Linked DNA regions of Macaca fascicularis. The protein of the gene in region 3 interacts with the protein of the main gene of each other region in a pairwise test. Links are inferred from orthologs where the notes say so. Each region holds a gene or a part of one and is shown on either strand. Other genes may lie near its edges.

What was found.
Region 1: the proteins of NUP62 (region 3) and ISCU interact in binary tests that used the Homo sapiens proteins (3 or more experiments, as listed by UniProt). The two-hybrid records come from large-scale screens. The link is inferred for Macaca fascicularis from reciprocal best matches to the Homo sapiens genes NUP62 and ISCU.
Region 2: the proteins of NUP62 (region 3) and XPO6 interact in binary tests that used the Homo sapiens proteins (3 or more experiments, as listed by UniProt). The link is inferred for Macaca fascicularis from reciprocal best matches to the Homo sapiens genes NUP62 and XPO6.
Region 4: the proteins of NUP62 (region 3) and CCDC121 interact in binary tests that used the Homo sapiens proteins (3 or more experiments, as listed by UniProt). The two-hybrid records come from large-scale screens. The link is inferred for Macaca fascicularis from reciprocal best matches to the Homo sapiens genes NUP62 and CCDC121.
Region 5: the proteins of NUP62 (region 3) and AGR3 interact in binary tests that used the Homo sapiens proteins (3 or more experiments, as listed by UniProt). The two-hybrid records come from large-scale screens. The link is inferred for Macaca fascicularis from reciprocal best matches to the Homo sapiens genes NUP62 and AGR3.
Region 6: the proteins of NUP62 (region 3) and BFSP1 interact in binary tests that used the Homo sapiens proteins (3 or more experiments, as listed by UniProt). The two-hybrid records come from large-scale screens. The link is inferred for Macaca fascicularis from reciprocal best matches to the Homo sapiens genes NUP62 and BFSP1.
Region 7: the proteins of NUP62 (region 3) and OIP5 interact in binary tests that used the Homo sapiens proteins (3 or more experiments, as listed by UniProt). The two-hybrid records come from large-scale screens. The link is inferred for Macaca fascicularis from reciprocal best matches to the Homo sapiens genes NUP62 and OIP5.

The regions. Positions count from the first base shown.
Region 1 is NC_088385.1:115,395,392-115,399,611, forward strand, and holds the start of ISCU (iron-sulfur cluster assembly enzyme ISCU), read left to right. Parts: upstream 1-1,254; 5' UTR 1,255-1,281; coding exon 1,282-1,395; intron 1,396-2,286; exon of another isoform or gene 2,287-2,917; coding exon 2,918-3,031; intron 3,032-3,924; coding exon 3,925-4,035; intron 4,036-4,220.
Region 2 is NC_088394.1:27,187,166-27,190,879, forward strand, and holds part of XPO6 (exportin-6), read right to left. Parts: coding exon 3,583-3,714; intron 2,559-3,582; coding exon 2,444-2,558; intron 2,276-2,443; coding exon 2,104-2,275; intron 788-2,103; coding exon 626-787; intron 1-625. UniProt on the Homo sapiens protein: Mediates the nuclear export of actin and profilin-actin complexes in somatic cells.
Region 3 is NC_088393.1:57,910,421-57,914,902, forward strand, and holds the start of NUP62 (nuclear pore glycoprotein p62), read right to left. Parts: upstream 2,976-4,482; 5' UTR 2,767-2,975; exon of another isoform or gene 2,645-2,766; intron 1,312-2,644; 5' UTR 1,200-1,311; intron 1-1,199. Other genes in the region: ATF5 (cyclic AMP-dependent transcription factor ATF-5), read left to right, coding at 4,310-4,482. UniProt on the Homo sapiens protein: Essential component of the nuclear pore complex. The N-terminal is probably involved in nucleocytoplasmic transport.
Region 4 is NC_088387.1:94,604,887-94,609,056, forward strand, and holds the start of CCDC121 (coiled-coil domain-containing protein 121), read left to right. Parts: upstream 1-1,310; 5' UTR 1,311-1,547; coding exon 1,548-1,915; coding exon of another isoform or gene 1,916-1,925; intron 1,926-2,381; coding exon 2,382-3,336; 3' UTR 3,337-4,170. Other genes in the region: GPN1 (GPN-loop GTPase 1), read right to left, coding at 346-439, 1,142-1,252.
Region 5 is NC_088377.1:113,324,261-113,328,442, forward strand, and holds the start of AGR3 (anterior gradient protein 3), read left to right. Parts: upstream 1-1,356; 5' UTR 1,357-1,396; intron 1,397-2,581; exon of another isoform or gene 2,582-2,613; intron 2,614-4,043; 5' UTR 4,044-4,073; coding exon 4,074-4,179; intron 4,180-4,182. UniProt on the Homo sapiens protein: Required for calcium-mediated regulation of ciliary beat frequency and mucociliary clearance in the airway. Might be involved in the regulation of intracellular calcium in tracheal epithelial cells.
Region 6 is NC_088384.1:69,719,979-69,724,422, forward strand, and holds the start of BFSP1 (filensin), read left to right. Parts: upstream 1-1,586; 5' UTR 1,587-1,699; intron 1,700-2,408; exon of another isoform or gene 2,409-2,478; intron 2,479-3,139; exon of another isoform or gene 3,140-3,293; intron 3,294-4,444. Other genes in the region: DSTN (destrin), read right to left, coding at 1,390-1,392. UniProt on the Homo sapiens protein: Required for the correct formation of lens intermediate filaments as part of a complex composed of BFSP1, BFSP2 and CRYAA. Involved in altering the calcium regulation of MIP water permeability.
Region 7 is NC_088381.1:17,880,698-17,885,126, reverse strand, and holds the start of OIP5 (protein Mis18-beta), read left to right. Parts: upstream 1-1,575; 5' UTR 1,576-1,605; coding exon 1,606-1,927; intron 1,928-2,167; coding exon 2,168-2,234; intron 2,235-4,429. Other genes in the region: NUSAP1 (nucleolar and spindle-associated protein 1), read right to left, coding at 1,117-1,209. UniProt on the Homo sapiens protein: Required for recruitment of CENPA to centromeres and normal chromosome segregation during mitosis.

The DNA.
Region 1 (4,220 bases), on a different chromosome or scaffold from region 3:
CACTAAATTCATTTTATTTTATACCCCTGTAAAAACTCCCACCAGAGAAAAAACTCATTATCATGGCATACGTTCCGTCACAACTTCGGACAGAAGTTGGGTCTTTGGGCAGGAAGTGGAGGCCATAGAGGAAGTCATGAAGCGAGCGTGGTGTCTGTAGTAAAGAATTTGGCGCCATCTTGAGAAGGTCAAAGTGATTCTTAGAAAAAATACCTTACTTATCGCCTAGTGTGACCTGGCGCTTGGGTTTAGTCTCCCCAGCAACTGCACCTCAAACGCAAAGAAAACTGCAGGTCCTCGGGGAAGGATCGATTTCACCATTCAAGAGAAAAATCCATTTCCCAAAGAAATTCTTCCCCTTTATGTAAACATCTGGTACCTAGGAGGCGTTAAATACACTTGAGTTTTCCGGTTTTATAAGCTCACATACTGCAAACCAACAGTAAATACGCATTTCTTTAGAAATTCTTAATTGCTAGGCACCGACATATAAATTGAATTTGCTGTTGTTTCAGAGAGAAAAATAGACATATACTCATTTTTTTTCAATCAGGACATGGTGTTCGTTTCCTTCTTAAGCTTCCCATTGTTGAGGTAGGCAAGTACTGGAGTGTGTCTCTATCTCTACCTTGCTCCCTCATTAGCAAGCTTAATGGGCAGGAATTACGTCTGTTTTGCTTTCTGTTGGATCCCCGGGTCTAGTAGAGTGCCTTGACACATAGTAGGTACTCAACACAGATGCTGGCTTCATGATGAAGGAATTGTCCTCGAATTAATACAAAAAGGAAGATTCAGACTTAGCAAGCCGGTACCATTTGTCTAGGGACACACAGCCAGGAAGGAACCGAACCAGGATTCTAACCCAGGACTACCCAAGTTCGAATTCTAGTTGAACCTAAGCCCTAAGCGACCTTGGACGGAGTGACCAAACTGCCCTGAATCTCAGCTTCCTTAGCTGCAAAATAGGGTTAGGAAAAGTGGACTCAGTGGTCCTCTGCGCCGCATTCCCACACTGCAGAAGCCTGAGATCCTCTCTCAACCAGAATCCAGCACCCAGGACAAGCCCTCTAGCGACTTCAGACCTTCCCGCTCCCGACCCCGCCCGCCCCCGAGAGGCGTGGTCAAGGCGGGGCCACAGGGCGGAGGCTTGCACGGAACGGTAAGGCGCAGGCGCAAAGCCTCGGTGACGCCAGAGAGGCGCGCTCCCAGCTCGGCGCCGACTCGCAGACGCGCCCCGCCCCTCGGCATCGCTCTGGACTGGCGCAGGCGCAAGCCGGCAAGATGGCGGCAGCTGGAGCTGGCCGTCTGAGGCGGGCAGCGTCGGCTCTGCTGCTCCGGAGCCCCCGCCTGCCCGCCCGGGAGCTATCGGCCCCGGCCCGACTCTATCACAAGAAGGTAGGGACAAACGAGGGGACACGCGGAATGCCGACTCGGGGGAGGCCTGGGCTGGAGCGGCGGCCGCGGGGTTCTACGCAGCCAGGACTAGCTGTCGCCTCCCACGTCTTTGCCCTGACTCACTTTCCCTTGCTGCGCAGTGAGGCTCACTGCAACTGATAAACAACAGTTACCGCTCATCGGGCTGCGACTTCCAGGGGGCCCCGCCGCTGGCCGCGACTTCGTGCGTCCCAACTTTAAATTCGCCAACAGCCCAGGAGGCAGGGTCCTGTTGGGACTTGTCTTTTAGAGTCCAGGGACAGACACACCCCCGGAGCGGGCTCCGGCTTCAGCCACGCTGCTGCCCTGGCTAGATGACCTTGCGCTAGTCACTGCGCCTCTCTGAACTTGTTTCCCCAGGTGTAAATGAGGACTCTCAGCTGTCTCTTACAAAGGATACTGTGCATGGAGTCCTGTCATGGTTCCTGGCACATAGGCCCCAGCACGAGGAGACCGTTTCTGTTACTGCTTTAGGAGTGCATAGGGGAGTCAGGCTTGTAACCAACATGCGTAGTGTTTTTGTTTTGTTTTGGGGGTTTTTTTTTGGCGGGGAAGGAGGGATAGATGCATAGTTTGCAGCCCCTTGCTGTCTGGTGACGCAAAGTCCCCCAGACGTGAGACTCCCACTCTAGAAACAAAGAATGCCATAAATCAACGTGGCACAAAAAGTCCCTCCGTTAGATACTATCCTATAGGGGCCTTTACTTGGAGTCAAAATCCTTAGTCAGATGGGGAGGAAAAGGGGACTGGAAGATCGGGGTGCTTACTACTAACCAGTAACCACATTAAGGCCTTCTGTGTGCCAGTTCGAATGGATGTTGATTCTGATCTGGCCTCTGCCCTTTCTCCAAGGGCTTCTTCACTCCTCCCCCTCCCGGCGGTGTGTTTCGTTGAGGGTACACCCCGAGGAAACTTGGACTAGCAGCCTTTCAGCAGCCAGGGTGCGCTGCTGCACCAGGGTGATGACAGGCTCTGAAATACGGTAATGGCACTGTTTTTATTTTGAAAGACACATAAACGTACACATTCCATAGCATTGTTCTCTGTGTAACAGTCACCTTAAGGCTTCTAAAAGTTTTCCCTTCCTGGGCCATAGTTATTTTTAGAATTTTTAAATAGTAATCATCCTTTGAGGATAGTTTTTATTTGAAAATAACAAAACTGCTGTTTGAGCCCAAGTCTGGTGATGTAGGTGGGTAAAAGTCAAGTATTTTTGTAAAAACCCTATGGAATTAAGACATGATTTCACTGATATTTTTTTCTTCTAGGTGTCGCTAATCTGTGAAGTAGTTGTAGAGGAGACACAAAAGGAATTGGGGGTCACAAATGGTTCTCACTGACATGAGTGTAGACCTTTCTACTCAGGTGAAATTTGGTGATTGCCTGCCAGGTTCAAGATGCTGACTTCCAGGAGCTTGCCACCATACCAGAGACCAGCACCAATAGAGAGTGAACACGATTTATCTTAACCCTCTCATTTTAGGTTGTTGATCATTATGAAAATCCTAGAAACGTGGGGTCCCTTGACAAGACATCTAAAAATGTTGGAACTGGACTGGTGGGGGCTCCAGCATGTGGTGACGTAATGAAATTACAGGTATGGCTAGTCTTTAATAGTGATAACAATAATCCCTTTAAGTTTACAAAGCACTTGCACATACAGCATTTCACTCGGTCTCCATCTTTATTCCTGTGAGATGGGATGAGTCCATGTTAGACGTGATTGGAACAGGGCCTCAATCGTAGCTCTCCTGCCAGGCTAGTGTACTATGCCGACTTTTTCCGAAATAGAAAAGTAATCTCATTTTTGTACTCACTGTATAAGTTTAAATTCCAACTTCAGCCAACGAAAGAGTTTTGTGAATTTTACTGATCAAAGGAAAATCCCAGTGAGCTAGCAGTCCCCAATGAGATAAGAAACACAGTAAATTAAACCTGTCCCCAGATTGGGAGCAACATGAAGATAGTGTCTAGTGCTTTGGGTAAACTGTTGTTGTAGCGCCAATCTGCTGCTTCATGGTGAGTGGGCAGCTTGCCAGAGATCTTCATACCTATCTTGGAATACAGAAACAAAACAGGAGGAAACCACTAAGTATAATCTGCTGCCCAAGAAAAAAGTATTAACCAGAGACCTTTATTGTGTACTCTCTCAGTGTTTAAGAGGCAGATTGCCCCAGCAGCTGTGAGCAGACTGCCTCAAATAGAAGTTCATAGCCAAAATGCAAGCCAGAGTCGCAAAACAAAATAATATTGGGGTGGAGGAACATATTTTCCAGCTGATCTTTGTCAGTTGGGCCTGGATAATTGTCCCTGCATTTCACTTTTCATCACTGAGCTCTCTGAAACAAGGCAAAATCAGTAATTAATACCATCACTTAGTATGGAAAGCAAGCCCAAAGCCCTTGGGGAAGGCCCCAATGAACCTTCGTGAGTGCCAAGTTCCAGAGGGTGGTCCTAGGACTCACCACTTAACTCTTGTCTCTTTTCTAGATTCAAGTGGATGAAAAGGGGAAAATTGTGGATGCTAGGTTTAAAACATTTGGCTGTGGTTCTGCAATTGCCTCCAGCTCATTAGCCACTGAATGGGTGAAAGGAAAGACGGTAAGGTTGCTCACAAATCTGACAGAATGAAATTGCATTCACCCCAAGCCTGTCTCTTGACGGGTCTAATGGGTCAAAAACAACCATAACTTTTTTTTAATATTCTGAATTTTTAAAGTTTCTGCTATACAGATGTTGATTATATTAATTCTTCAAATTGGGAATTATAGATCATTCTAGATGAT
Region 2 (3,714 bases), on a different chromosome or scaffold from region 3:
AGAGCCTCCCCTAGCTAGACTCAGATGAGAATGTCAAGACACCTGAATGCAGACCCTGGGAGCGTGCCTGATGCAGCCACAGAGCAGGCTGGCTGTCCGCGTGAGGGGATGCCGTCCCAGTCTTCCACAAAATGGGGTGCTTAGCCCACAGAGAGCGCACTGTCTCCGATGGACAGCTGCATCTGCCCTGCCTCCCAGGGCAGTGTTTCTCCTAGTATGGTCAGAGTCAGAATCACAGTGCAGGTCCAGGGCCCTCCTGCAGAGACTCCTATTCAGGCAGTTCCCTGCTAAGAAGGCCCTGGGTGACTCTGGCATAAGCAGGCTCTTTACACTTGGGGAAACAGCACTATGAGGTCAGCGGAACTGACGTTTATCAAGCATCTCCAAGTGTCATGCACTTTGTGTATGTCATCTCATTTCACCTCAAAACAAACCTGTGACCCAGGCAACATTAGCTCCACTTTACAGATGAAGAAACTGAGGTTCCAAGAAATTAGTTAACTTCATCAATACTAAGAGGCAGAACTGAGCTTCAGACCCGAGACTGGTGGGGCTTCAAAGACAGGACTCGTTGCAGTGCCAGGTTAGAGGAAGTCACCCGGCAGTCCCCCCGCCCCGACATTACCTGCATGATGGCACTGAACTGGGGCTCATTCTCCATCTGCTCCTCAGAGATCCCCCTCTGGACACTGGCCAGCACGGTGGACTTGAAGAAGTACCTCCAGTTGTGATGGAGTGTCCGGAAAAGGAGCTCAAACAGCTCAGCCTTCACATCAGGGGAGGGACGCTGCAGAGACACACAGACGCTCAGATCTGCAGCTTGTGGAGCCGCTCTGGCCTGGGCCCAGGGCAGCAAAGATGCCTAGGAGATGCCTCGTGACAGTAAACCAAGTGTCAACACTCCATCCACATGCCTGTCACTGCCTGCGCAAAAGACATCCAGCCCCTGGAGTCCTGTCACTGCCTGTGCAAAAGACATCCAGCCCCTGGAGTCGGCGGTTCACACCGTGAGTTCTTCAGCAGAGACAGGGCCCACATTTGAGAGAGAATGCATGGGTCAGTGCCAGGGGCCCCTTTTTCTGATGAGCACTCAGCTTTTACACTAGAAAAAAGCTACCAAGTGGATAAACAATTAGGAGTATGGATTTTCTGTTCTATTCGACCTGTCAGATCATCTTGCTTGTTCCTTTTCCCAGGATGAAAAATGCTGTCCCACTAACCTGTTGGTCTTACACAACCACAGAGGCTAAAGACAGTCCCAATGCCTTAAAGTGATTCTGCTCCCCAGAAGAGGAGGGTTTAAAGAACACTTGGGAGCCAGGCTCTCTGGGCCAGTTTCTTTCCCAGCAGCCAGGATTCTGAGAGGAGGTAGAGGAGAAGGGGCAGGCTCAGCAGTGTTTTCTCATTGAATCCAACACCCGCAATCCCTTATTCCAGATGTCTCTGGAGAATTCAAAAGCAGAAGGCCCACATATGTTCAGTTCAGTGTTGATTAAAATTAAATAGACACCAGGGGCCACAAGCGTCCACAGAAGAAGCCTCATAGGCCAGTCTGTCCCATAGACCAGACCTGTGCCAGTCTCAGTTCAGACAGTTAAAGATTAGCTCTTATTTATATGACTATTACCAAAAAAACTGAAATTACATCTATACTTATTCCTGGTCTTATCATGCTGAGTGCCTGCCTGTTTTCTAAGGACTAAGGGCTTTCCTGTAACATTAAAAGGTTTGTTTGAATGGTTTCAAGAACTTGCCTTGTATCCTTGAGACCATGAATGTTTCTAATAGGAAAGTACATATGTTAGAATGTTTGCTATAGAAAACCAGAGTCTCTTAAAGGTATAAATTATTTGCTGCAGGAGACTGATCTTAGCAACTGACCCTGTGGAATAACTGCTGTGCTTACACTAGACTAGTTCCAATGAACTCGATCAATATCAAAAGACTGTACCACGCTAAAGGCCTTCTTCCTTGGGAGAAATTACTTTACTAGCATATTAAACTAACAAATGAACTTTAAAACACAATCCATTTTCTGTGAAATCTCACTCCCTTCCCAATCTGGAGATGGGGGGCCGCACAGGGGACTGCCTGAGCCCCTACCTCGGCGATGATGGGATACACCTGCTCCATGCACAGGGCGATGATGCTGGGGAGGAAGGGCTTGAACACCTGGCCTGGCTCCTGGACCACCACCTGCAGGATCTTCAGAAACTTCTCCACCACCCGGCAGCCTGTGCTCCCCTCATGGAGGATGCTCTCAGCTAACTGCTCTCTACAGATGAGAAAGCCACACAGTGAGCAACCACATGTTTCTCTGGGGGTCAGCATGAAAACCCATGCTGTGGCAAGTACAGAACAGGAGCAAAAAGCCACACTTTGTCGCCAGACCCACTACTTCTCCCTTGAATCTGAAAACCATGGATGGGGGGTCTGTGGTTACCTGGTAAACATGTTGAGGAAAGTCTGTATGATTTGCTCAGTGAAAGGCACGCCCATCTGTACTCTAAGGCCCCGAAACAGAGTGAGGAAGAAGCTTAGCATCTCATCAGTCACATCTGGGGAAAGGGGCAGAGACACCGTCACAGGCTTGCACACAGGGAGAACCAGAACCCTGGGCTTCATCGACCTACTCCTGAAATCTGCACTATCAGCTTTCTCTACGGCTTCCTGCTGGAAACATTTCCCCAATACCATCAGGGCCAGTGACAGAAAGTGGAAAATGATTAGGGACATGCTGAGAAAATAGTTCTGGTATAGGGAACCTCCACCTGGTGGCTCACTACAGGAAATGAAGGTCATCTCGAACCCTTCCTCATTGCCCGACATCCAGTGACAGTCAGAGTGTCACTGGAGAGGGATCACTTTGTGCCCACAGTGATGAAACTACTCAACTGGGTCAACCCCTGAGTGCTTAAGTCATTTCCCCCTATGACTAATAATCCCTGCAGTTGGGTCAGAGGTTGAGTGGTTGAAAGTGGATAATGAAGGTGTATTTAGATTGCATGCCCCTGGTCCATTAAATGGACTAATTGCAGAAAATACTGCTTACATTTAGGGCAGTTTCACTTCCAGATCTCAACAATCATCTTGTGTAGTGTTTCAGCTCTAACTGCACGCAATCTGCTTGCAAGAGGCAATGAATATTTGCTGACTGAGAAGTGCTTGATATTTCTCTTGTAAAACTGACAAGACTACTATAATGCTCTCATGAGAGCTGGGCAAGTACATCCACAGAGCTAGAGAGGCCCTCTATCACTGACAGTGACAGACAAGGGTGAGGGGAATGATCTCGGCAAATGCGCCTTGCCACAAAATAAGGAGAACTAAACCAAAAAAGCTCTCTAGCCTTCTCTTGTAGGTGCCAAGGCCCATATGGAGGGCTCTGCTCACTTTTCCATAGGACCTTGGCCCCAGACTCCGCAAATAAACACCACTGCCCTTTCCCTTCAGTACCGGGTTTCGTTGCACGGAGCCAGTCGAGGCCTGTACTGCACTGACTCAGTGTGCTTTACAGATCTAAGTGGGCATTCTGGCCCTTGTTAGCACCACCCACCAGTGGGGCTCTGGGCCAGCTCCTACCTGACTGATGGATAAAAGCTGGAAAGAGGGCCAGGGAGACCTGAACGGATTCCTGCAGCGACTGGTAGCAAATCTGTCGAGACTTGGTGGACTCCCCCGAGATATTCTCCACAATATCTTCTAAGACGCTGA
Region 3 (4,482 bases):
ACCAAACCCAGTTCCCAAGTACAAGCTAGAAGGTCTTCTTAGGAGAAGATTCTGCCGGTGGGGGGCTGGGGTAGGGCACGTCTCTGCGTCCTTACCACTGGCAGTCTGTCCAACAGTCTACCCTTAATTCCATCTGCTTTTGCTCAAAAACCTATACTGAGAAGTGGAAGGAAGTTGGACTTACTGCACAGCAATGGAATGAGAACACATCCACCTTAATTATAGCAGTAACAATAACCACTTTTATGCAGCACCTACTGTGTCCCAGGCACTAGTCTAACTGCTCGACGCGGATTAACTCATTTAATCAGCCCTATGAGGCAGGCAGTTTTTTTTTTTTTTTTTTTTTTTTTTTTTGAGACAGGGTCTCACTCTGTCACCCAGGCTGGAGTGTGGTGGCACAATCTCCGCTTACTGCAACCTCTGCCCCACCCCAGGGTTCAAGTGATCCTCCTGCCTTAGCCTCACAAGTAGCTGGGACCACAGGCACAAACCACCACACGCAGCTATTTTTTTGTATTTTCTGTAGAGACGGGGTTTCACCATGTTGCCCAGGCTGGTCTCGAATTCCTGAGCTCAAGCAATCTGCCCACTTCAGCCTCCCAGGGTGGTGGGATTACAGGCGTAAGCCACCGTGCCTGGCCCAGAGGCAGGTACTCTTAACACCACCTTGTACCACAGGGGAAACCGAGGCACCGGGAAGGGAAATGGCTACGGTCACACAGCTAATAAGAGGGGTGCAGTCAGGTTTTGAACTCATAAATCTGGCTCCAGAGTCTATGCCAAGGATGTATAAAATTTGGCTTCCTGGGGCTACATCGCAAGAACTGTCTTAGGCCACACATAAAATAACACTAATGATAGTTGATGAGCTCAAAAGGAAAAAAAAAAACACTCGCAAAAAATTCGTATGGTTTAGGAAAGTTTACGAATTTGTATTAGGCTGCATTCAAAGCTATTCTGGGCCACATGCAGGCCCACGGATGGGACAAGCTCAGTTTATGCTCTTAGCTGCTACTCTGTATACTGTCTCAGTGATAACACAACCCCTACAAGCTCAAGGAAATATAGGGCAGGTGCTCAAAAGCTGGCAAAGTGGACAATAAGTGCTCTAAGGGAAGGTGGTCAGATCCCAAGAAGGGCTTCCTGCCCGCGACAAGTAAGGGAGGAGAAAGAAGCTTGTGTAAAACGCTCAATACCAGGATTCCTCCACCTTCTCTGGACCTTGATTCAGTCTCCTAACTGCCACAGAAGGGATGAAGGCTGAACTCCAGCTGGGATGTCCTGACGTGGATGGGACAAGGTGGGTTTCTGCAAGAGAGAAAAGACTGACATCCACCTCGGCTGGTGGAGGGCCCTGTGCATGAGAAGGGGCAAGATGGCTACCCTCTGACTAAAGGGAAACGGAGATCTTCCATTTTTGGCAGGGTTGGGAGATAGTTCCTATCCCGTGGAAGCTAAGGACTGTTTGAAAGGAAGCCAAGGGCAAGGGATGGAGAAAAGGACGCAGCTGGGGCCTCGATGTCTGAATCCCTGCCAGGGGATGGGGCCTGGGCACCCATCATTTGGAACGGAAGATGAGGATGGCCGGAAACAGACACTTCAGAGGAATGAGGGAGACAGAAGAACGACAGCAAGAGTTAGACAGTCCAACGTCTGCGGCTCTTGTAAGGGGGAAAGAAGAAGTGAGGCTGGGCCCCAATAAAATATGTTGAGGCCGGGCGCGGTGGCTCACGCCTGTAAGCCCAGCACTTTGGGAGGCCGAGGCGGGCCGATCATGAAGTCAGGAGATCGAGACCATCCTGGCTAACAAGGTGAAACCTCGTCTCTACTAAAAATACAAAAAATTAGCCGGGCGTGGTGGCGGGCGCCTGTAATCCTAGCTACTCTGGAGGCTGAGGCAGGAGAATGGCGTGAACTCGGCGGAGTTTGCAGTGAGCCGAGATCGCGCCACTGCACTCCAGCCTGGGCGACAGAGACCGAGAGACGTCATCTCACCAAAAAAAAAAAAAAAATTGAACAGGAACGTATGAGTTGAACTCTGTGCATAAGGCTTGCCAGACACCGTCTTGAGTTTCATAAACCCACCAGGAGAGCTGATTTTTCTTATTTTACTTATAGGGAAATGAAGCAAGAGAACTTAAGCTATTTGCCCGAGGCCATCCTGGTAGGTCTGTGTTTGGGAGAGTGCTGTGACTCACGCTGGACTCTAACCCACGAGGGTTTCTCGGGGTCAGCAGTTGGGGGATGAAAACATGAAAAGTGTGGCTGACAGGAAATTCTGCAAGCAGGGAAAGGGAAACAGAAATTAAATGGTGCAGGTCTCCGGGAAGAGAATGAGACTGGATCCACCAAATCACAGGAGGAAGCAGGCCCAGACCTCACAGGCAGAAAAAGAAAGAAACCAGAGTTTAGGAGGAAACCAGACCCCGGAGCTACGAGAGGGCCGGATCCCTGGCTCAAAAGGGAGGAGGGGCCTGGACCCTAGGAGTGGGAAGGAAGAGGTCGGATCCCCTGATCCCCAGGAGGAGGGGACCGGGCTGCCACCCAGTTGGGGCCCCGCGAGGGCGGGGCGCGGAAGGATCCGGGCGGGCCATGCTGCGCCACCCGAAGTATATCTGTCCCCAGTCCCCGGGGCCGCCTCATTCCCCGTCCTCAGATCACGGTCTCTTCTAACTACAGCGTTCTCCGCCTCCGCCTGCGTAGCCCCGGCCATGGCTCTGTAGCCTCGACCCCTTTGTGCCCCCAGCCCGACTCCGCGCTTACCACGCCTGCGCTCTCCGCTCCCACCTTCTTTCTTCAGCCGAGGCCGCCGCCGCCTCTCCTTGCTGCAGCCATGGAGTGAGTAACCGCTTACTTCTCCCTCTCCAACCGCCTTTCCCGCCCTTTCGCAGCTCGTGGCCCTCTTTAGGGAGCCCTGGGGGGAGGGGAGCTGCGAGCGGGGAATCACGGTCGCGCAGGCGCAGAAGAGGTACGGTGGGCCGAAGGCGCGCGGCTGCGCATGCGCACTGGGCCCGGAGCCGGGTGGGAGAGTTCTAGAGACTCGATGTTTGTCAGCCGGCGTGTGGCTGCGCCTGCGCACTCCAAGGGAGGGTGTGGTCTTTTTCTAAACGATTCTGTGCGTGCTTGGTTGTTCCTGCGCAGTAGCCTACCAGTGCCCCGTAATTAATGAGCGCGGGCCCTGAGTGTCCGCGCATGCGCACTGATCCCCAAGAAGGCGGAGGTGTAAAGCAATTGGACAGCTCGGAAGACGTAGCATGCGCTTTGGCCCTTGGCGCATAGCCGCGTGTGGACGGCTGGCGTTCGGGTAGCAGTTCTCTGCCTGCCCCCTCTACCCTCCTCCACCCTCCCTGCTCCACGTTGCTCTGGCTCACAGCCCAACTTCCTTCCTTTTAAACCAGGCACCTGCTGAGGCGGGGACTGGCTTAGATTGACAGGGGAGAAGGCGGGGCTTAGAGGCAGCCCTCTAAGTGGGTGGGGCTAGAACCACTGTCGTCACGATGGGTGGGATTTCGTGAGCCCATTGTGAGAAGGGGCGGGGCTAAGCCAACCTTTAGCTGAGGGGTGGGGCTTCGATGGGACAAAGAGGCGGGGCCTCTGGGGAATCGGAGAGGGGCGGAGCTAAATAAACAATGAGGGGCGGGGCTTGGAGGGGCAGTGGCAAAGCGAGGAGTGGGATTTGAGTGGATAACATTGCTGAAGGGCTGGGGCCTGGGGCAGTTCCCCTGGGCACTGGTTTGGGATGGAAGCTAGGAAGGCAGTGGGGCCAAAAGGAAATATTTTAGGGCAAGGGGCGTGGCTGGAAGAAAATGTCCCTGGAATTGAGTTTTTCCATGATGCGGAATATTCTGAGGTGGATGGGAAGGGCCTAAGGTAATTCCCCTGGGAGACCCTTAGGTTTCCGTATTGGGGGAAAGGGTGGGGCATCGGTCCTACCTTAGGACCTAAAGAAATTCCCTTGGGAGTGGGTGGGGCTCAGATTTGGGTAAAGAAAGGGCAAATTTAGAATTCGGAGAGGCTGAGGCTTAGTTATAAACTGTGGTTGGAAGGGGGAGGGAGGAGCCCCGTGGACGTGCCTGGGGGTGTGGCTTGGCTTCCCCATGATTTTGGCCGGTGGATGAGGCTTTCCTGACCCCACGACCCCACCCACTCTTGTCTCACACGTGTAGGTCTTCCACTTTCGCCTTGGTGCCTGTCTTCATCCAGCTGAGCATCCTCCAGAGCCTCGTCCCAGCTGCTGGTGCAGCGGCTCCTGTTGCCATCAGTGCCCTGCACCTGTGCTACAGCGCCCTGCACCTGTGCTACAGCCATGTCACTCCTGGCCACCCTGGGGCTGGAGCTGGACAGGACCCTGCTCCCAGCTAGCGGGCTGGGATGGCTCGTAGACTATGGGAAACTCCCCCCTGCCCCTGCCCCCGTGGCTCCTTATGAGGTCCTTGGGGGAGCCCTGGAGGGCGGGCTTCCAGTGGGGGGAGAGCCCCT
Region 4 (4,170 bases), on a different chromosome or scaffold from region 3:
AAGACTGGCAGGCTGGAGAGTCTGACTCTATTGCCTAGGCTGGAGTGCAGTGGTGCTATCTTAGCTCACTACAACCTCTGCCACCCGGATTCAAGCAATTCTCCTGCCTCAGCCTCCCGAGTAGCGGGAATTACAGGCATCTGCCACCGCGCCTGGCTAATTTTTTGTATTTTTAGTAGAGATGGGGTTTCACCATCTTGCCCAGGCTGGTCTTGAACTCCTGACCTCTTCATCTACCTGCCTCGACCTCCCAAAGTGCTGGGATTACAGGGGTGAGCCACTGCGCCCGGCCTTTTCCATTCTCTTTAAAGCACTTCACACAAGTTATGTTACCGGTTTACTCACCAATATTGGCAGGAAAGGGAACTTCATGTACTGCTGGATCCAGGTTGATCACATAAGGTGGAGTGCCTTGGGCATGCAGGTGTCCTGTGAGCCTCTGCAGAGATATGGGGAGAAGGTTGGAAGGAGACAAAGAGGGGACAAGAGAGAACTTCCTTTACCACCCATGCCTTAAGAGTTTTGCACTTAGATTTTCTTTTACCTGAAATATCCACCCACTATATCCAACACCAAGATACAACTCTCAGTTCAAATGCTACCTTTCTTCATCACCCATCTAACAAAACTTCCCCTACTCATAGTCACTTGTTTACTTGTTTTGATTCTTCGTATGTGGGTTTTCTCTATCTCCTCCATTAAATATTTAGCCCCATGAATGAATCTTGTCAACCTAATTTTCGCTATATCCCCAGTGAATGGTACATAACAGGCGTGCAAGAAATAATTCTTCGGCAAATCTTCACCAAAACCTGTGTGCTAGCACTGTATTAATCTCTAAAGTTACTTGTAAGCCCCTGCCTTCAAGAAACTGGCAATTTTATCAGCAAGACAATTCCTGTACAACGTGGTAAGCTGACCGAGTATGCACTGAAGGTGCACAGAAGACAGCCTTAATTAACCTGGCTAGGGCCCGAGGAGGCTTTGCCGGGGAAGGAACTAAAGTTGATGGGAAACGACCGAAACCCATGCGCCGATACCCTCCAAATCCTCGGAGACCTCCCTCCCTTTCTCCCTGGCCTTCCGCCTGTCGGAGGCAACCTTTTGCGCTCCCCTACTACACCCACGCTGTGTACGTCACCTGTACAAAGGTGGTTTTCCCGGATCCCGCCATTCCCAACACCAACAGACACACTGGGTGCCGCGGACCCCCAGAAGCCTGGGGCTCAGCTGCAGCTGCGGGCGCCGCCATCTTCCTCCTGGCCCCGCCCACCTGACCATAGAGACACCGCATGGCTAGAGAAACTTCCGCGATGTTCTGGGCAGCGAACGAAAACAGAACCAAAGCGTCAGAAAGGAGCGTGAAGGGGCGCGGTAGTTGCCAGGGCATCTTCTTAGTATCGGGCAGGGCTGGTGAGCCAACTAGTGACAGTGGCGAGGAAGTGGGGGCGCTGAGCAAGCGAGAGGAAGGCTGAAGGGAGCTAGGAAAGGGCTCTGATCTCTGCAGCCTGGGAGGGCTTTTGTCCCCAGGGGGAAGGCGAGAAGAGATGGGGTCCCGAGGGCAGGACTCACACAGCAAGAAAACAAGGCGCATGCCTCTCATTTCGAGCCCGCAGAGAGCGGGGAGCGGAGCCACTGGAGGACCGGCTGCTCGGGTTTATTCGGTAGCCGAGGCGGTTAAACAGTTCAGGGCTGGACCAGCCAGGACTGGAGCAGGGTGCAGCCTCCAGGGTTGCTGGGCAGCACCGAGACCCTTTGAGCACCGAACGGATAAACTACGGGAGTTTTCCGCACTTGCACGTTGTTCCCGCGAGTTGCAGGCGCAGGTTCCTGATGCTAGCGCTCATTCCTTGGTAATCACCCTCGGTGAACTACGCAGTTGCCGTGACCTTCAGGATGAATGCTTGGATTCCAGGTGCGAATAGGTACTGGAGGGGAGCTTCCTTCTCACTGAAGGGCTCTCAGAAACTCAGGAAAGATGATGAAAGAGCTTAGAAAAGTATTTCTACTCGCAACCACCCAGTCTGTTTCTGTGGCCCTTTGTAGCTGCTAACAGTGTTCAGTAAGTCATAAGATCTGGCTTTCATACCCAGGCTCTGCCACTTGCTAGTGGTGTGAGTCATGGGCAATTCACTTAAACTCTCTGAACCTGTTTTCTCTTTTTAAAACTGAGATAGTACCTCCCAGGGTTGTGGTGAACGCACGTTGTAAATGATGAGCTAAATCCGTCATCTTTTACCACTAGCTGGATTCCCCTCACCTTGCATAATGTCTGGAACATTCTGGGTACTCAGAAATATTCTCTGGTATAAATAAAGGACAGTTCTGCACTTCCTAAAGTTTCATCAACTGAGAGAGGAATGTCTCATTTGTTCTTTCAGGTTTGCTGAGGGCCCCAGAAGGCTCCTTCCACCGTATCATAGGCTAATAAATAATTTTGTCAAGCCAGAGAAGCTAACAAAGGTGGAGACAATCCTTAAAGAAAAGATAGTGGCGGAAATGACGGTTCTGAACAAGCATATAAAACAAGCTCAAATCCAGCGGGAACAGCTACTGGAGGAATACAGGGAGCTATACCAAGAAAAGTTACTTGTCCAGGCTGAAAACAGGTTCTTTCTGGAATACCTGACTAACAAAACTGAAGAGTACACAAAGCAACCTGAGAAGGTATGGAACAGCTATTTACAACAAAGTGGAGAGATCGAACGAAGAAGACAAGAATCAGCCTCCAGATATGCAGAACAAATTTCAGTGCTTAAAACAGCGCTCTTGCAAAAGGAAAATATCCAATCCAGTTTGAAGCGGAAGTTGCAGGCAATGAGGGACATTGCTATATTAAAGGAAAAGCAGGAGAAAGAAATACAGACATTACAGGAGGAGAAAAAGAAAGTCCAAGCTGAGACAGCTGCAAAGACACGTGAAGTACAGGCCCAGCTCCTCCAGGAGAAAAGATTACTGGAGAAACAACTGAGCGAGCCAGACAGGAGGCTACTGGGAAAGAGAAAAAGAAGAGAGCTTAATAAGAAAGCCCAGGCCTTGAAGTTGGCAGCAGAGCGGTCTATTTTTGAATACTCCTGTGGCCTCAAAAGAGAGAACCAGCAGTTCAAGAAGGAATTACTGCAGCTAATTGAGCAAGCCCAGAAACTAACGGCTACTCAAAGCCACTTAGAAAACAGGAAGCAGCAGCTGCAGCAGGAACAGTGGTATCTGGAGTCCTTAATCCGGGGGAGGCAGAGATTGCAAGGAAGTCATAATCAGTGCCTAAATAGACAGGATGTTCCAAAGACCACACCCAGTCTTCCCCAAGGCACCAAATCAAGGATTAATCCAAAGTAACTCCTCCTAAAATAACACTGATTAGATAACTGGAGCAAGTACTCTTAAGTGCTACATTAACCTGGTTAGGAAGGCTTTTGGATTCCAGATTGTTATTGTAACATCTCCATCATGAGTGTTAGAGTGGAGGATTAGATGATCCAACAGTCCTACTAGATATTTGGTAACCAGCTTCCCTTAACTAGTTTTTTCTTGAAATACTCTCGTTAATAAGATATTCCACAAACCTCTAGTTAACCTAACACATGACCCTAACCTAGCCATTTACCATACATCAAACTAGCTAAAGGAAACCAACCCGAGGAAGTGAAAACAGTTGTGATTTATTTCATCTAACTAGATTTCTTTATAGAGAAAAAGTACCTTTAAGGTTAGCATTCCAAATAGACTGAATAGCGTTCTGCTCAGTAAATAACCAGTATCAGTTTATCCTCATTCCTTTTGACCGACTTAGCAGACAAAAGCAGTTTTTATAAGATTTTTGTAAGTTTGTGCCAGTGACCAGGTAGCTCCTAGTTTTCTCATGAGCGAAAAAGCATTCTGATAACAGCAAGTCCAGTAAGTGCTAGGCAGAGTGACCTTTCATCTGATGTGAAGCCCCTACAAGTTTAGCTTTAAGTAAATTGAGAAGGTAAGAGAAGATGAAGGAGACATCTATTAGGTCAGCTCTTACATTTGAAAATGTTTTCTTTGAAGAAACATATGTAGCATGGAGGTGACTGAATGCCTCCCCTTATTTCAGGAAAATGTATCCAAAAAAAGTTGAAATATTTGGACTTTTTAAAAAGTGTCATCCATTTCCCTAGCAGCATTCTAAAAGATAGAAGTAAAATG
Region 5 (4,182 bases), on a different chromosome or scaffold from region 3:
AAGGGAGGGAGGAAGGAAGGAAAGGAGGAAGGAAGGAAGGAGGGAGGGAGGGAGGGAGGGAGGGAGGGAGGGAGGGAAAGGAAAGGAATTTATAAACAATACCCTGGATTACGCTTCAATAAACATTTTCTGTAAACATTTACTAAAGATAGTAAACATTTTCGGTTTTGCAGATCATACAGTCCCTGTCACAAGCACAGCTGACCCTTAAACAACATAGGTTTGAATCGTGTGGGTTCACATAGAGGAGAATTTTTTTTTAAATAAATACAGTCCTTCATATGAGCAAGTTCTGCATCCACAGCCAAAGTGGATCAAAAATACTGTGTTCACGGGATGCCAAACCTGCACATATGGAGGACCAACTTTTCGTATCTGTGGGTTACGCAGGGCCAGATATGGGACTTAGTGTGCACAGATTTTGGTATCCACTGTCCTGGACTGTACCGGACTTTGCTGTTGCAGTGCAAAAGTAGCCATAGACACTAGTAAGTAAATGCACATGGCTGCATGCCATCCGCCAAATCTCTCTCTATTTATGGACACTGAAAGTGAATTTCATATAACTTTCACATATCACAAAATATGATTATTTTGGTTTTTTTCCCCAACCGTTTAAAAATGTCAAAATCGTTCCTGTTTCCTGGGCTGTGCAAAAAAACAAATCTGATGACATCCTGCCCTACATTATTTTAACAGTAATTAAATAATTACTGTCAATTAATTAAATAGTATCTATTAGATAAATTTAAACTCATCTAATTGCTGTTTTCTATTTTGTGCACAGTAAAGGTTTTATAGAAAAATTGTAAAGAATAATCAAATGATGAAAATGTTCAATTTTAAAACAGAATTATTTCCTTCTCTCTCTCAAAAAAAAAAAAGGACTCAATCTCTTTAGCTGTTAATTATATTCCTGTAAACAGAGTAACCCTTAGGAATTTCTATTTGCTTTCTTTCTAATCTGCAAGCCTCACAGCACTCACATCAAGAACAATGGCATGCACACAGTTCTTAAATTCAGTCCGGTTTCCTTCTTCCTTTTTTTTGTGTGTGTGTGCTGAACTTCAGCCAAACATTAAATTACCTTGGGAAATAAAAAGTAAAAGAGAAAGAACCACAAAGATGGTATTTAACCTCATTTTATGAGGACATTCAATCTGAATTTAGACAAAAAGAAAAGCGCTTTGTTAGTGTGAGAAGCATGAGAACTGGAAAGAAGCACAGAGTTTTTCAGACCAGCCTACTTTCTAAAGTTTGTTTTCCGGTAACTATGCTCTTGTTTCTATGCAGGTGAGGTTGTAGGTCAGGTGTGTGTGTGTGTCTATAAATCCACACCCATTTTTAACCAGAAACATCCAGAGTACATTTCCAACAAGAGCACTGGCCAAGTCAGGTAAGCAAGCAAAGTTTCCAGATTACTTAATCAGTGGTCAAGCTTTGCAATATTTAAATAATCACCTTTTGCTATATAAAAGTGAAGCTTTCAGTAAAGGCTGGGAAAGTGAAATGAATTTTTAATTTTCTTCTTTTACCGAACTGGATTTCCTTTGCTAGTTTCATAGTTTTATCTCTATTTATATTAATGGTATTAGAATAAATTGACATCAACCACAAAAACAACTCTTTAAAAATTATTCTACAAGTATTAATAGCTCTTCTTTATAGTCTTTTAAGTCTTGTTTTATTTTAAAATATAGGTGCTTATAATATCAGTTACTTATGTTAAATTACTTTTGAAAAATAAAATACTAATGTCAGAAAATGCTAATTGACCAATGTTTATACAACCTAATTTCTGGCATATGGTTATATGCCTCCCAAATGCATTTTAAGCTGCTATAGGCCTGTAACCATGCCATATTTATCTGTGTTCCCCCAAGTATCTTAACCTTGCAACTGATTCTAAAGGACCCTCAGCAATTTACAGTGTATGTTACCAAGGAAAGCATTATTTATTCAAAATCTATAATGTACAAGTTGTACTGCTTTGTCACAGAATATATTTAATACCTATTTTATAATTTATCAATGTAAAACCAGAAAACCAAGATTTTTATTTTTTAATTAGAAAGTATTTGACAATAATACATAAATATTTGAAATTTTAAGGAAAAAAATGTTCCCACCTAACTCTAAGCTTGGCAGCTTTAAAATAGCAAAAATGATGAAGTTATGCTTTTTCTTTTTTAAAATGCAGATTCCACCTGCTTGTCTCTGTACCTAACATAGAAAAATCTTTCTAAAGTGCCCTCCAGATTGACTTTTCTTAACTCTTCTTTATATCCAAGATCCCTGGAAGAATTTTAATGAAGTTTTGGACCCTATTCCCATGGAAAAGGAACAGGCAGATAAAATTTTGCACGCAATTTCCAGGGGTTTTGAGCCTTCTGTAGCTCATCCACAGGCCTTCTAGAAGCCTGCTGGATTCAGGTTAAGATCCTGTCCTAGATGGTTACTTCAGTTCCTCCACTGCAACTCCCAACCTGTCTAACTACGGCTGCCTTTGCTGGGTTGGGTTTCATGTTCCAGAGTCAAATGTCCCTGTCCTCTACTAAAATCCACCCTTTCTTTGTTTCAGTCTTTAAAGTACAAGATGACCGAGGCCTTAAGGTACAAGATGACATTCTGAAATGTTTTATGGCTTAATAAGTTATGGAAACTTAAACTGAAATCCTTATCAGGCACCATGATCATTATTTAACAGGGTTTTTATATGCCTGGAAAGAAAGGACGGAAGAGGACGGGAGGGGAAAGGAGGGGAGAGGAGGGGAAAGGAGGGGAGAGGAGGGGAGACGAAAGGAGGCCGGGAGCTGTGGCTCACCCCTGTAATCCCAGCACTTTGGGAGGCTGAAGCAGGTGGATTATTTGAGGTCAGGAGTTTGAGACCAGCCTGGCCAACATGCTGAAACCCCGTCTCTATTAAAAATAGAAAAATTAGCCAGGTGTGGTGGTACACACCTATAACCCCAGCTACTTGGGAGACCAAGGCAGGAGACTCGCTTGGCTAAGGAAATTTTACTATTTTGGTGACAAATTCAATACTAAATAATGTAAGTCAATAGGAAAGACATCTTAAAGGAACTTTAAATAAATGTGAAGGATATCTGTATATTTATTTTATATTTTGAGGTAAAGTTTCAAAACTGCATGCGCCAACCATTTTCAAATGAGTTTTATATGCTAATGCTGTAACTAAACATCTCACAAGTATTACAGACTTCCTGTAATATATTTATCAAGTGGTTTATGACCAGATCCAGATCAGGTCCAACTTTGGACTTTAGTTTTTATCTTAATGCGCAAAGTATAAAAGACTCACATTGAGTTAAGAATCGGTTTGAATTCTAGCTAACCAGGAGAGAATGTAATCATGGCACGTCTACGCTTCTCTATACATATGTCTAATGTATAGTAATATGACAGTATTTTATTTTTATAAAGAGCTGTATTATAAACTGAAGGGCAAAATTCTGATTAATTGTTGAAAGGATGAGAAAGGTAAGAAACTATAAAGGAACTGAAGGACAAGAATCCTCCATATTCTATTTTTCCTCTGATTTCTATTTTAAGCAATATTTGTTCATGTATAATCTTATCTTGGTATAGAGTCAAAATGTTTTGACCTACTAGATACAGGAGAATCAAAAGGCAAAGAATATTTCTGCATGCTAAAAGTCACTTTATAGTTTACAAGACATTAAAAAACATAATCTTATTTGAGTTTCATCTTGGTGGTGTGAACACTACAGGGCGATTCAGAAGCAGGCTTTGTGTGCCCTGAACCAGCTGTCTTTTAATTATACAGCACTATGCCCAGGATGCTCAGAACGTGACTTCTCACCAACTGAGCATGTATTGAGTTGATTAAGTATTTTAAAAATAAAATGTGAATGAAAGTTCTATGTGGTTGGTTATACCATGTCAAACCAAAAAAGCAGAACAGTCTGTCGTCACAGTATTGGTCCAACTCTTAGCAAATATCTTTTAATAATAGCTTGAAGCAACTCACTAGATTCTGAGAATTCCTTTCTGTCATCTAGCTTCTTCTGAGAGATTCTCTAGAAGACACGATGCTACACTCAGCTTTGGCTCTCTGCCTCTTACTCGTCGCAGTTTCTTCCAACCTTGCCATTGCAATAAAGAAGGAAAAGAGGCCTCCTCAGACACTCTCAAGAGGTG
Region 6 (4,444 bases), on a different chromosome or scaffold from region 3:
AGCATATACATTTAAAATATTATTAAATTTTTAATAATTAAATATTAGACTTAAGATGCTGATACTTTGTAGCTTACAGCATTAAACCAAAGAAAAACCAAAAACTGAACCGTATCAAATCCCTATTACATACATACCTACAGTCATCAAGAAAGTACCGGTTAATCTTTTCTTCTTACTAAGGGGCCGCCTGCATTTCATGAAAGTTGCAATAACTTAAGAAAACCAAAACTGTTACACAGTGAAAACAGTTTGTATGCAGATAAGCTGGTACCAACTGCTTCTAGACAGACAGATGCAATTAGAATGTAATATTTCTAGCAAAGTCTGGTAAGGCTATGCCTGCAAATCATTGACCAAAAATGGTAACAGTGTGTGCAGACTAAAGAAAATGACAAAATGTTCCATCTGATAGTTCAGTTGAGAATACGTTTGTTTTTAAATAGCTAATTAGAGGGACACAATGTAAAGGGGGAAAATATGTAAATTAAGCAAAATGTCCATCATATAGAATATACTAATGAGCACCTGTTTACTTTTTGGTGACTCTAGTATTTTAATGGTTTTTAAAGCTCTTAAATTTGCTTGTATCAGCATCCCAGCATCATGCCCACACCCTGCGCACCAAGTTCTGGCAGAGTCCAACTGTCTACAGGTCAGAAAAAAAATTCTAACCATACACGGACAGATCGGGCAGGGAAGGGTTAAAAGAGACCCTGCCAAGCTTGACAAGCACGACCAGAGTGCTGCTGGAAGCCGATTGCCAGATAAAAAGAAAAAAAAAAACAAAGAGGCTGCAAGGCCACCCCGTTCTAAATCATGCCAGTATCCTGCTCGTTAGCGATCATTCCGTGCTGTAGGGCTGTTCCATAAAAGCTTTAGCTTCCTTATTGAGATGGACAGACCTCAAGGGCTGGAACGCGCACAAGTCGCCGAGCGCCTCAGCGCTAGCTCTGGGGAACTAAACCCACGCCAACAAGGACGGTCGCCGGATTCCGACGCCCCCCGCCTCCCACTCCTCGGCCGCGGTGTGCAGCCCCCCGGATGGATTTCACAGAGCGGGTGGGGGCGCTCGACCCCGGCCAGTTGTTGCAAGGCCCGGTCTGGAGGCACCGCAGAGGCCACGCTCAGGGCGGCGGCCTCGCCCCAGCTGGGAGCTGCGCAGCGGCCGCGGATCCGCCCAGGGGCGCCAGGGCCCAGCCAGGATGGCTGGCGACGAAGGCCCGGAGACCCCCCGCCCCACAACCGCGCGGCCCGGAGACTGCAGCCGGGCCGGGTCCCTCCCGGGCCTGGGGCACGGCTCAACCCCTTATCCCCGACTCCGCGGCGCCCCCGAGACCAGCAGCTCCCGGCCGCCTCAGCCCACGCCTCGGCCTCCCTCCCACTCACCATCTTCGCCGCGGCGGTCGCAGGGACGCGGGGTTGGGAGCTGGCGGGCAGCGAGTCTGCAGAGCGTCCTCTTCACAGCCGCGGGACCGAGCGCTGAGCTGACGCGGCGGCGCGAGCCTACCCCGGGGCGGGCGCGCCTCGGGACGGAACGCGGCTGCGCACGTCACGCACCTCCCGCCGTTGCTACGCAACCAGCCGGTCCGGCAACGCCCCGCCCGGCGGCTGTCCAGACTACCGGAGGGGAACTTCCCTCACCTGGTTTAGGCTGCGGGGCGGGGTCTCCCTCACTAGAAAGTGTTTAAGGATGAGGGTACGTGCTTTCTCGTCTGCAGGGGACTAGAAGGCTTACTAGGCTGGCTCCTGCTGGCGAGGGGCGGGCAAAAGATGATGGGGGAGGGGTGGCCTTTCTTCACCTCCTCGGGCGGGGCTCCCTGACGCTCCACCCACTGTGCAGGCAAGGCTCGCGCGGGGGGAGGCAGCCACCTGGCCAGGTGTTCTTGCCGCTGGGGGCGGGGCGGGGCCGGGGAGGGGAAAAGGAGGGGAGAGCTGGGGGAGAGGGGGACAGAGCGTGGGAAGCAGGGGGATTTGGCGGGGAGGGGCGAAGGGCACATAGTTGGGGGAGAAGGGGATGGAGAGGGGAGGGAAGAGGTGAGGGAGAGGGGACAGAGTGGGGAGAGGCGGGGGATGTGGGGGGAGGGGGCGAGGGGCACTTAGTGGGGGGGTGATAGGGGAGGGAAGGGGAGAGGTGAGGGAGTGGACAGAGTTGGGGGAGGAGCGGGATAAGGGAGAGGTGAGAGACAGGGACACAGAGTGGTGGAAGGAGAGAGATGTTGGGGGTGTGGGGGGTAGGGCCCGAGGACGGGGGACGCGCTGGGGGAGGACCCGCGGGAGCGGAGTCGCGGGCCGCGGCGTCGGGGACGCCTCCCGAATTTTTTACCTACTTTGGTGCGATTCCCGCCGCCCTCCCCTGATTGGCCCAGCCTGGCTTGTCCTGCCCTCGCGTGAGGGGAAAAAAATCTGCACATTTTTCCTCCTTCCCGAGGCGACCGTGGCCATGCAGAGTGTTCTGTGAGTCACCGTTAATTTCAGGTCTGGAAAAACAAGGAAGATTTATTTATCTTTGGGAACTGCCGGGGAAGGAGGCCGGCGGCGCGCAGGGGTGTGGCTGGGAAAGGCCGCGCTGTCCCGGGACGGTGGCGCCAGCCCCGCCGCTCAGTTCTCCGGGTTTTTAATTTGGAATTGTGTTTTTCTAATGGGCGGTTGCGTCGGAAACACGGTTTTCAGAGGGCCGAGATGAATCCCAGCGTTTTTGCTGCGGGTGTTTTTGTGGGAAATAAAGGGAACAGAGAGAATTTTATAAATTAATTTAGGTTACCGAGAACATCATGGCCTCGACCAAAACTACTTTAATTCTCCAAATATGAGGCTTTTGGACACGATGGTCAGTATTTTTTTCTGGCACTATATAAAATCTAGGTTGTATGTGGCTTTTGTTCTGCCCCGCTCAACATAGAAACCCATTTCTTATTACCCTCGTTCTTTTTAAAAAGGACGGTAAGCAAGTTGTGCAGTTTTAAGCCTTTACCACCTGAGACATGATTTTTGGCGGGCTAGAGCAGTGGTTCTTAACTTTAGCATGCATCAGAATCACCTGGAAAAATTGTTCAAAGCTAGATTTGTGTGCCCCATCCCCAAGGTTCCCTCACTACTTCTAAGGTGATGCCTGAGAATGTGCGTTTCTAACTCCTAGGTGATGCTGAAGATGCCAGTCCAAGGCCACACTCCTGAGCTGAGAAGGAACCCCCCTGTATCCTACTGCAGCTGGAACCCTCTGCTTTTCTGTTTGCATAGGACCCTGTGGCCTCTACACTTCTTAATATTCAGACTTCCTTTCTAGTCCAAAAGTGAATGGTGCTCATTTAAGGATACATGCCTGCCTGCCTGCTCCAGCCTCTCCTGCATTTCGTCCTCCACTCTGCCACCAGAGTTATGTCCAAACATAAGACTGGTCTTGTCACATTCTTGCTTAAAATTTTCTGTGGCTTCCTCCATAACCCTCAGCGGGTCAGTGTGGCCCTTCTGTCTCTGGCCTCAGCCTACTTTTTCTGCCCTATCTCCCATATTTTCCTAAGTGCCCACTGCCCCTCCCAGACGAAACTTCTCATAACAGAACACCTCTTACTAGTTCTAACTACCTTGATCATGGGCCTGCTTATTTTTCAGCCTGGAATGTTCCTATCACCCCTCACATCTGAAGACTTCTCTTACCACTTCCCAAGGATCAATAGTAGTTGCTGCTTTTTTTTTTTAACTTCCTGCCCCCCACCCCTTCCAACTCCTTCACCCCCGTAGTTCCTTCTATAATCCCAGAGTTCATCACTTCTCAAACCTTTTTTTTGTTTTGAGACTGAGTTTCGCTCTTGTTGCCTAGACTGGAGTTACGGTATGGTGCGATCTCGGCTCGCTGCAACCTCCGCCTCTGGGATTCAAGCAATTCCCCTGCCTCAGCTTCCTCAGTAGCTGGGATTACAGGCATGTGCCACCACACCCAGCTAATTTTGTATTTTTAGTAGAGATGGGGTTTCTCCGTGTTGGTCAGGCTGGTCTGGAACTCCCAACCTCGGGTGATCCGGCCACCTTGGCCTCCCAAAGTGCTGAAATTACAGGCGTGAGACACTGAGCATGGCCACTTCTCAAATCTTAATAAAGATCCAAGTCACCTGGGATCCTTGTTAAAATGCAGATTCCAGAGTTGAGAAGTGGAGTCTTAGATGACCCCAGGAAATGCAGATGCTATACTTTGAGTTTGGAGGTTTTATGGTTTTTCCCTACAATTACTGTAGCTCTGTAATTACTTATGTGCATTTGCCATTACTACCAGATTACGCTGGGAGTTCCTTGAGGTCATGGGATATTTAAGATGCATATGTGTGAACTTGGCATAGCCCCTGATACATAGTAGGTGTTTAATAAATGTTCAGTAAGTGAACAAGTATCTGAAGATGTTTTACAATTTATCAAGCTTCTGTATCAGTTTATCACAACTTAAGATGAG
Region 7 (4,429 bases), on a different chromosome or scaffold from region 3:
AAGAAAAACATTTGTGACGACTGATTTAGGCATTTATTCAGTGTCAGTATCATAGCCTGCAGGACAAACCTAGAGAGCACACAGCAGTATTATGTGGGAAGTCTCAACTATTAACAAAATATATAAAACCGCTATCCTACATTGAATCCCCAAATCTTCTAACATCTTGTTTTTTGTTTGTTTGTTTGTTTTTGTTTTGTTTGAGACTGAGTCTCGCTCTGTCACCGAGGTTGGAGTGCAGTGGGTGCGATCTTGGCTCACTGCCACCTTGGCTTCCCAGGTTCAGGCGATTCTCCTGCCTCAGCCTCCCGAGTAGCTGGGATCACAGGCGAGTAGCTGGGATCACAGGCGTGTGCCACCACGCCCGGCTAATTTTTTAATGGCCAGGCTGGTCTCGAAATCCTGACCTCAGGTGATCCAACTACCTTGGCCTCCCAAAGTGTTGGGATTACAGGCATGAGTCACCGCGCCCGGCCAATTCCCCTAACATCTTGTAGCCTCGGAGTCAAAGACCTTACTGGTTTTGATAGATACCATCACCACAACAGTCATCAATAAGCACATGAGTATACTAGATCAGGGCTGAGTTATAAAAATTTACCCAAGGAGGTGGTCCCCTAAAAGTCGATTTTTTCTTTCCCCCTGACAGGTCCATCAATAAAGTATCAAGAGATTATCGGCAATATTACAAATCACTGAAGTCTGTGTGGGGTTTTCTAGAAGCTGAGCCAATTATTTACTTAATTGTCTAACGATTAACGACACCCCTTCTGCTTTCTGGGCCTGCGTTTCGTAATCGATGACCTGAGAGGTATAAAGTAATTTCAAAAAAAAAAAAAAAACACAAAAAACGAAAAACAACAAACCACCCCTCGGAACAGAGGCTTATCATGTGAGCACCCAGACAAGCCAGCTTCAAAATGAGGTGAAAACTACAGTTCCTCTTCCGTTTATCAGAGTTCTAACTGGGACCACCGTGAACCACATCTACTGCCCGAGGGGCAGGGACGGCTGCTTCAGTCCCCGGGCTTCCCGTTCGGTCCCTTCGCACCGCATCTCCCTGAGGCCGCTACTCCCGCCGCGCCCGCCCAGGGAACTGCCCCGCCAGCGTCGTACCCGCAGGTTGGCTCGGAGACCCAGACTCTTGGCTAAGTTCTGCAGGTCACTGTACTTGAGGGAGTCCAGCTCCTCTAGGGAGGGGATGATCATCGCGATTCAAAATCCCGGCGATACTCAGAAGATGGATCACCAAGTCTCGTAAGCGAGGTTCAAATCCCTGGCGCCACTCTTAACTTTGACTAAGCTGAAATTTATAGACAGTTTAAATGAAGAATGCCGCGCTTCCATTGGTTGAAAATGCCTCAAAGGCGGGGTTTCTAACCCTGACCAATAGAAAGGCTGATTTCCCGTCCCAACAGTCGCGCGCTTTTCTCACACTTCACGAATACGCAGGCGCCGAAGGGCCTGTAAGACCGGTTCAGGTAACGAGTGCGCGGACTGGGACTCCAGTGCTTGGATTGCCCACGATGTCCAATGAGGACGCAGGAGCTGTGCTTGGGGCGGGGCCTGGCGTGTATTCGAAACGACGGCGCCGGCTGAGAGAAGATGGCGTTTCAGCCGCGGCGGCATCGCTCCCCTTGTGCAACGCCGCCCCAGGGTGACTTTTGTGATGGCACTGAGAGGGCGATTGACGAAGCATCTTTTACGACCTCCATGGAGTGGGATACACAGGTGGTGAAGGGGTCCTCGCCGCTCGGCCCCGCAGGGCTGGGGGCTGAGGAGCCGGCCGCCGTCTCGCAGCTGCCGTCTTGGCTGCAGCCTGAGAGGTGCGCTGTTTTCCAGTGCGCACAATGCCACGCCGTGCTCGCCGACTCGGTGCACCTCGCCTGGGACCTGTCGCGGTCCCTTGGGGCCGTGGTCTTCTCCAGTGAGTGCAGTGAGGCGTTCGGGAAAGGCAGAGGCTAGCCCGAGAGGTTGTTCCCGCCTTCTCCACCTGGGGAAGAAAACGGAATGAAAATTTGGAAGCACATAACTCCTTGGCCTGGGGATGGGGCAGGGAACTGGGGAGTCTCCTGACATTTATGGCGGGGATGAGTCTGTCTAGAGGAGAGATTTTCCATTTCAAGGCCCGCAGAGTATGAGTTCTGACCCGTGTTTGTGTTCCTAGGAGTTACAAATAACGTCGTTTTGGAAGCGCCCTTCCTAGTTGGCATTGAAGGTTCACTCAAAGGCAGGTACGTATTGATAATTACAGATTGGTCTCTAGTCCCTGACTTTATGAGACTGAGGAGCGTGGAACTGACATGTACTTGTTGAGCAAGTCTGTTGACAGCATTTCCTTTTTTTTTGTTGGTTTGATTTTTTTCTTTTTGAGATGGAGCCTCACTCTGTTGCCCAGGCTGGAGTGCGGTGGCGCGATCTGGGCTCACTGCAAGCTCTGCCTCCCAGGTTCACACCATTCTGCCTCAGCCTCCCGAGTAGCTGGGAAGGCATGTGAAGTCATGCCAAATTGTGAATATGAAGAAAAAAATGGGGCCGGGCGCGGTGGCTCACGCTTGTAATCCCAGCACTTTGGGAGGCTGAGGTGGGTGGATCACATGAGGTCAGGAGTTCAAGACCAACCTGACCAACATGGTGAACCCCCATCTCTACTAAAAATACAAAATTAGCCGGGCATGGTGGCACACACCTGTAATTCCAGCTCTTTGGGAGGCTGAGGCAGGAGAATCACTTGAACCCGGGAGGCAGAGGTTGCAGTGCACTGAGAACACACCATTGCACTCCAGCTTGGGCAGCAAGAGCAAAACTCCATCAAACAAACAAATACATGGAAATTAAAAGTGCTACTCCAGTTATAAGCTGATATGGAGGAAGTTTGAGTGGTATGAGTAGAAGATCAAACCAGCCACAGCATTCCTTTAAACCAAAGCCTAATCCAGAACAAGGCCCTAACTCTCTTCAATTCTGTGAAGGCTGAGAGGTGAGGAAGCTGCAGAAGTTTGAAAGTAGCAAATGTTGGCTAGGTGCAATGGCTCATGCCTGTAGCCCCAGCACTTTGGGAGGCCGAGGTGGGTGGATTGCTTGAACCCAGGAGTTTGAGACCAGCCTGGGCAACATGGTGAAATGCTGTCTCTACAAAATACAAAACAATTTAGCCGGATGTGGTGGTGCACACCTATAGTCCCAGCTGCTTGGGAGGCTGAGAAGGAAGGCTGGCTTGAGCCATAGAGGTCGAGGCTACAGTGGAGCTGTGATTGTGCCACCACACTCCAGCCGGGGTGACAGAGCAAGACTATCTAAAAAAAAAAAACAGAGGTTGGTTCTTGAGATTTAAGGAAAGAAACCTTCTCTATAACAAAAGTCCAAAGTGAAACAGCAAGTACTGATGCAGAAGCTGCAGAAAATGAAAGTGGGTACACTAAACAACAGATTTTCAGTGCAGATGAAACAGCCTTCTATTGGAAGAAGATGCCATCTCAGACTTTCATAGGTAGAAAGGAGAAGTATTACCTGGCTTGAAAGGAGCTGGTCACAGTGACTCACACGTGTAATCCCAGCACTTTGGGAGACCAAGGTGGGAGGATTGCTTGAGCATAGGAGTTCAAGACCAGCCTGGGCAACATAGCAAGAACCGATCTCTACAAAACATTTAAAAATTAGATGGGCATTATAGTGTGCACCTGTGGTCCAGCTAATTGGAAGGCTGAGGTGGGAGGATCACTTGAGTCTGGGATGTCAAGGCTGTAGTGAGCTGTGATGGTACCACTGTACTCCATCCAAAAAAAAGAAAAAAAAAAGCTTCAAAGGACAGGCTTTCTCTCTTGTTAGGGGCCAATGCAGCTGATGACTTTAAGTTGAAGTCAATGCTCATTTACTGTTACTATCTATAGCTACTATAGATAGTTATTCCTCTGATGGATATGGGCAAAGTAAATTGAAAACCTTCTGGAAACCCAGCTAAATTTTGTATTTTTAGTAGAGACGGAGTTTCACCATGTTGCCCAGGCTGTTCTCAAACTCCTGGTCTCAGGTGATCTGCCCGCCTCCCAAAATGCTCAGATTATAAGCGTGAGCCATTGCGCCCGGCCCAGTAAATTAATTTCCACTGACACATTTGTTTATAAGTACTGTGCTTTGTCTGAACTAATTAATTCCTACGTGGAATTTCAAATTAATGACACTTTATTTCACAGTTTGCTTTTTGGTTACCTATATTCACAAGATTACTATATGTGTGGTGTGGGACTTCATTTACCAATAAACCTAATATATTTTGTTATTTGTTCTTTTTTAGTATCCATTGACATGAATATTTCTTTTTAGCTATGTGTTTTTTGTTTTTTTTTTTTCTTTTTTAAGACGGAGTTTTGCTCTTGTCGCCCAGGCTGGAGTGCAATGGCACAATCTCCGCTCACTGCAACCTCCGCCT